2 linked regions of the Nothobranchius furzeri genome follow. The protein of the gene in region 1 interacts with the protein of each later gene in a pairwise test. Links are inferred from orthologs where the notes say so. Each region holds a gene or a part of one and is shown on either strand. Other genes may lie near its edges.

What was found.
Region 2: the proteins of paraneoplastic antigen Ma1-like (region 1) and fbxl18 interact in a two-hybrid assay, tested with the Homo sapiens proteins (2 studies listed by BioGRID). The two-hybrid records come from large-scale screens. The link is inferred for Nothobranchius furzeri from reciprocal best matches to the Homo sapiens genes PNMA1 and FBXL18.

What each region holds. Positions count from the first base shown.
Region 1 is NC_091745.1:26,674,385-26,676,977, forward strand, and holds paraneoplastic antigen Ma1-like, read right to left. Parts: upstream 1,419-2,593; coding exon 501-1,418; downstream 1-500.
Region 2 is NC_091744.1:14,834,208-14,838,409, reverse strand, and holds the start of fbxl18 (F-box/LRR-repeat protein 18), read right to left. Parts: upstream 2,801-4,202; 5' UTR 2,657-2,800; coding exon 2,636-2,656; intron 2,190-2,635; coding exon 1,995-2,189; intron 1,914-1,994; coding exon 1,564-1,913; intron 1,364-1,563; coding exon 1,228-1,363; intron 1,144-1,227; coding exon 65-1,143; intron 1-64. UniProt on the Homo sapiens protein: Substrate-recognition component of the SCF (SKP1-CUL1-F-box protein)-type E3 ubiquitin ligase complex.

The DNA.
Region 1 (2,593 bases):
CAGAAATTATCTGACTCTTTACTACTCTTTGGCTTAAAGGTAGATGACTTTGGACTGAAGTCCGCTTTGAACTTAGAATAGTGCCCTCTCTCTTTTGCATAATGTTGTGGCGTTACCGACATGACACTTAACTGTGTTTTCAGCTCTTTGACTTCTTTTCTTAACTGTTGCACTTCGCTGCTTGTGTCTGATTTCTCTTTTTTCTTTTCTCTGGACATCTTTTTGTGGCTTGACTCTGTAGAATGAGACTGCTTACTGAGCTCTTTCAGCTTTTCTTTTAGCACTTGAATTTCGGACTGAAACTCATGTTGCTGACAATCTCTGGAGTCTGTTTCACTTGCTACTTGCACTGCATGCACGTGCTGTCTCTGTGCTGGTTTTTTCAGTTTTTGTCTTGCAGCTTCACGCTCCTCTTCTTCTCGAATTTCTTTCAGTAGACTTAAAAATGTCGGGGGATCACTTCGCTTACCTCTAAGACCTAGATGAAGCAGCATGAAGTCTTATTCAGTAGCACCTTTAATGAGTTGCTCAAGCCTTGCTCGGTTGGCTTCATCTACTTGTAGGCCTCCTTTTTGCACGACTTTGTTCAGTAATCTTTCCAGTCTCAGCAAGAAGTTAGACAAGCACTCCCCTTGTCTTTGATGCATAGCTCTGAATGTGAGATACAGTTCCTCACCGGATTCTGCGGTACCAAAGGTACTTTCCAATGCCTGTATGCAGTCCACATGGTTTGCCAGGGGATTAGACATGCGCACTGCTTGAATGATCTCCAGCGCTGGCCCTTTGAGACTCTCAATAATTCTTCGGCGTTTCTCCTTATCTGAGCACTCATACTCATCAGTCATGAACTTTACTTGTTCTAGCCAGCTATCCAAGTTGTCTTCACCAGGTGGAGTAGGGTAGACTCCTGAGAAGATTCTAAAACGACGGTATAAATTGCTTTCATTTGGCTTGGACTGCAACACATCACCTACCACCCGAATGATTGACTCAGGGCTGCTGTTCCATGGAGTTCTAGGATCACATAGTCTTTGAACATCCTCCATTGTTTTCCCTTCATCACGCAGAAATCTGTCCAACTTCTCTGTGAATAGGTCGGAGTTCGTTTCTTGCTCTGCAACAACTATTGTCCATTTACTTCCATCCTTAAAGGAAATCAACTCTGGCGGAACTTTGGTAGGATCGACTGCTTCACAGCATTCACATAACATGGTCAGGGTTTGATTATTGGCATCAAACATTTTTCCTCTTACTCTTACCTTGCCCAAGGTTTTTACTTGTTCGAGTGTTTCTTCTACTGTGGATAGGTCCTCCTCTTCAGGCACTCCGACAACTAGAATGGCATGTGCCTGATCGAGCCCTTCACCTCTGCACCAATTTGCAAGATTCGGTTGTGAGACATCACTTTTAGTGGCCATAGTTTAACAAGTTACTTTGTAGGGGGAAAAAAAAGATTAATTGAAGTTGCTTTTTAGGACCAGTGTTACTCTTAGTTACTTTAAGGTTACAGCAGATTTAGTGGTAACTTAAAATGTAGATAAAACAACAACAATCCCAGCGGTGCCTCCAAATGTGTAGCACCCAACTCAAGTAGCTCTGGATTAACCCTCGGTTAAGATGGTGATAGTACTATGAGCGGGGCCCTGGGTACATTAACTAATCTTATTGGTAAACAGGAGAAACAATGACTAACCAGTTTTAACCTTTGTGAGCTCATTCACTGAAACCGTTGCAGGCCTGATCGTTGCTTGGGCTCGTTGGGCCAGAAAACAAACAAATGGCCGCTTCACTTGATAACCAGCAGAAAACAAAACACACGTGCTCAGGTCTACTCATGAATCCTTTGGGCTAAGTGCAAGGCAAACGGAGGGGCAGTCTTGGTTGGTGACCATGCGGCCTCCACTCGGCAAGGTGGTCGGAATTAGCGGCATACCCGGGCTGCTGAGTACACTGGAACAACCACACAGAACTCCTATCCACAGCAGAAGAGTCCAGAGAATTCCTCTCGGTCCACTGTGCATTAGAGATTACTATTTAGTTCCACAGAATAAGCTGTATCTTACGTACTCGACATACATAGCTATTACAGGCTCTAAAATGCTAACATGCTAACTCGCGATTAGCACCATACATTTTAAGTACTTATACATTCCGTTTAAGCTCAATGCTAACTCCACATTCAGTACTCACTCATCACAGGGTAAAACAGTCCATAACAGGAACGTAGACTCTGCATCCACGGCTATTATTTCACTATTCTTCCATTAGCTCTGGTACACAACCTCCTCCCGCAACGTGCTGCTGCCGACTCTCACTAGCTTCGCTGTTTTTTCTTTCTTTTGCCTCACTTAGCTCCCGCCTCCCTTACGTCTGATTGGACAGTAGGTTTACATCAACCAATGGGATAAAAGAAAATACAAGATTGACAACCCAAAATGAACTTGTAAAACAACTTGAAACAATACAAAGTTTTCCTTGTTTCACATTAGATAAACCTTTAGTTTCATTGTTACTTATAACTCCATGAACACTCAAATTATGATTGACTTCTATTTATTGTGATTTTAAACACATTTTTAACCATTTGAACTCC
Region 2 (4,202 bases), on another chromosome or scaffold:
TTAAAAATAGAAAATAAACCACTTTTTTTTAAAAGGGAAAAGAACACTATAGGAATATTCTGACCTGAGTTCCTGCAGCTGTGTGCACTGTTTCAGTGTCTCCAGCAGAGCAGGGGAGTAATTCATAGTTTTCAAAGATCCCAGGTTGGCTAAAGACAAAACTCTTAAGTCTGTGCACCGTCTGGCCAGTTGTACCAGTCCTGTTCCTCTGAGAACTCCAGGAAGTCCAGCCAGAGACAAACGGCGCAACTGAGGCAAAGCTTCAAGTGCCGCCAAGTGTGCGTCTCCAACTTCCCTGGCCCAGGCGCACATACCACGAGGCTCCACGCTGGCACGAGTGCAGGGCTCGAGTCGAGGCAGCGCTGAGACAAACCCTGGCCCAATAACCTCTAAGGTTTCTAAAAAAGGGCAGCCAGCTACTAGCGAAGACAGCCCTGAAGTGCTGTCTCCTGAGAGAGAGGATTCTGAGTCAGGTCTGTAGTTCTGGAGCCCCACTCGAGGAGCTTTCTTCAGTCCCTGAAACAGCGCGGAGGTAGCTGAGCTGCAAGACGAGATGTGATTTGTGTTCACACCGTCAGACAGAGCGCATGCAGGCAGGGTGAGAGAGCGCAGCTGTTTGAATCGACCCAAACTGGTACACAGGTGTGTTTCTCCATCCAGCGCAAGTGTGTGTTCATGATGGTAGTGTGTGTGCATCAGATTCAGGTGCTTAATGTTGGAACAGACTTCAGCCAGCTGACTCAGGGTCACAGTAACCAGCTGATCTTCTACGCTCCTGCACTCGGAGTAAAGAACGTGGTTGATGCCGCTGAGGTTGAGGCTGATGAGCTCCGTGGCATCTCGGACTCCTCCGTTCAGAAGCGACTGGAACACCTGCGGCCACAGAGCGGGGCAACGGCTAAAGCTCAGGTGCTTGGGGCTGTTCCCCTCCAAGGCTCGCTTTAGAGAAAAAGAATCCAACCAGGATCGAGGGAGCTGCAGAGCCACCAGGTCTCCTCTTTGACCCAAACTTTGAGCCAGCGAGGAAGCAGCCGGCCAGTGAACCGGGTTTGGACCGGGAATCGACACGAGGAAAACTCTGAGATTCTTTGGAATGTGAACACTGAACACCGCCAGGTAAAGAAGGAGCAGCGTCTGGTTCACCTGCAGCCAACGAGACACGGAAACATCCCGTACAGTGTTACAGACAGGACTGGGTCTTGTTTAAATGATTACTAACACACTCACCTCTCCTGGAGCCAGTCTGGCTGTGAACTCCTCCAGCTGTTCGTAATGCGGTACACTGCTCTGACCAACCATTAACTGACAGCTAACACCCACACCCTCTCTGGTCACATCTGGGATGTCAAACTGCAGCATTAGCCTATCACACACACATACACACACACACACACCAGAGAACCAAATCTTTATATCTGTAACCCGGAAGCTTAAAACAGAAACTCACAAATAAGTAAATCCCATTCCAGTTGCTTGACAGTCATGGTAGCTAGGGTGAAGAGATATTTAAGGATGATGGCTTAAAAACAGCTAAATATAAGCATCTGTCTTGCAAGTCCTTACTTGCGAAGTTTTGCACAGCATGGCACAACACCATAGCTTGGTGTTAAGAGCGTCTGTTTGAGCTCCGTCAAGCGGCTCAGCGAGTCCACCGCTTTTGAACTGAGCAAAGCAGAGTTAAAGCACGGTCTCACATCAAACGCCAGGGATCTGAGAGAGGACAGAGAGGAGAGGAGGTGCGACAGACAGAGATAACTGATGCGACAGCCCGTCACATCGAGGTGTGTTACTGCTCTGCAGCGTGCCAAATGCTCCAGTGTGGAACCAGACAGCCAGTAGCAACCGTTCAGGCTGAGAGACAGCACGCTGTTGCCAAGCTTCTTCAGGATGTGTCGAACTAACCGATCATCAGCCTTAAAGAAAATGAAAAGTTAATGAGACAATCATGAAAAATTCCTCATCAGCACCAATCAAAAGAAATCAAACAGCTTTACCAGATATTCTTCAGACAACGTGACGTTTGAGAGCAGGGTTTTGTCGTGGCAGAGTGTGTAAAACTTCCGGCAGACAATTGCAACATTCGTCAGGCGGTCACACACTGGAACGTGATGAAGGATACACAGTAGGATCTCATCAGACAAGTTGGACATCCCAACAGACAGAGACGCTGTCTCTGAGTCCAAAACAGCCTGAGAACGACAGAAAGATGTCAGGCATGTGATTTGGGTGATCTTCGAGCTTTTTAAGACGTTGCCATTCTTCTTAACTTCTGTAACATTTTAGTACATGATTTTAATTAGAAAACAAAAAAGCATTACAATCTAAATGGCAACAAAATGCTGATACAAGTAGCCTGTTCATTTACAAACATGTTTTATTCATTTCATTGAATGTGGCAGCTCTGACACGAACATAAAATAAAATGCTTACAATCATATCTGATTGTTTCATAGTGCTAAGGACTGGGACTATCTTTCTGAGACCATACGCAGGGCAATTAGATGACAGACGGAAGATGTTAGAGTAAAAAAGTTAGCAACAATGTTCGCTTTAGCGATAAAATTTACATCATTTTTTTTATGTTCCGCGGTAACCAAGTAAAATCCGTCGCGTAGAGGTTTGGCGCAACACCTACTTGCAAAATCTGTCCATCCATTTCCTTTGTCGCTCTCTCCAAAGCCTTATCTAAGATTTCTAAACAGGAGACCTTCACCTAACAGGTGTTTCGATAAATAAAAATTTCGCTTTTACGTCTGAACCACAGGTTGCTGACCACGAAACACCTAGACGGAAGGATTTTACCGCTGCACTGCACATGACGGAAGTCACGGAACGATTACCCCTACGGACTTACTTCCTGTTAATCCAGGAAAAAAAATAAAAATAAAAAAACATCTGTGTTGTAGACACAGCAGGTTTTCACAAATGAACGCACAAACAGTGAAACAAAGATTTGTTTTACCTGGTCACGAATCCGTATATTTTTATTAACCTTTGCGTTTTAAGTCATCTCAAATCAAATCAAAGATACTTTATTAATCCCAGAGGGAAATTAGAGTTTCAGTACACACAATTCTGAGATCAGACATACATGGGCAAGACACATGACAAGAATTGGTGATTGTGGTCATTCGCAACCCTGAGTCACACTACCTTAATAGAGATAAGAGGGTTACATGAGTACTGGTTCAGGTGGAGGGAAAAAAAGGCACTTCAAAGTTAAGGTTGGTTTATGCTTGACGCATTCACTTTCCACTTGGTGATGCGGCTCGCGGATGGAACGCGCTTCACAACTCGCAGCGTTTATGGTTCGTGCGGCTCGTCTCTGCGGTGAGCCAATATTCTCTCAAACTGAACGGGGCTGCATGGAGCTCTACAGCATGCATCCAACACTACACCATAGTAGAAGTAAAAATTACTGTTGTTTACAACATGGCATTCCAGCAGTTTTAAACAGCGTTCTCGTCTTTTCCAACAGTGCGAGCTTCTCTCCAAGAAATATTAACAACATGTTGATCACGGTGATCTCTGAGAGCTGAATCATACAAATGTCTGTAGTTACGAACCTCTGCCTTACTAGATCTTGCCGGTCCGCCATGTTTTTCCACATCCGACCGTCCGGGTGGTTAGAAATTTTCCTAGGTGTGCAGTGCGGAATTTTGGGCCGTGCGGAGGCGCGGTGGAGGGGCGTGGTTGTTAAAATGACGCAATTTCGCCGCACGGACCTCGCGGACCAAGCTTTACCCTCTACCGGGAAGGCAGCATTGCGCTGCAAAAAAAAAAACACCTCAGACAGAGATATGCAACAGACTTCAGACAACACAACATAAGTGTTCACTAGGTGGGGTGGTGGGTATGGACTATCCCAACTTCAGTTCCTGCAGCCACGATGAAGCAGCGCATGGGGGTGGGGGGGTGGGTGGGGGGGCATTAAGGGTTGGAGGGTTGCAGTGACCCTGGATGCTTCAGCGGCCTTCCTGCTGTCCCGCCCAGGCTGGGAAAGGAGGTAGAGTTGAGTTGCCATAGCGACGATACATTCCACGTATCTTCTGAGGGGGGGGGGGGGGGGGGGGTTTGTTGGAGCCTCACAGGCTCAAGGACGCCAGATTCCAATTAGAAATTGTTTTGGGGCCAGACAGAGATAACTTCTTCTCTATCTTACAGTTTGTTGGTCCTCAACCTCTCAGAATCCCAATAATGGA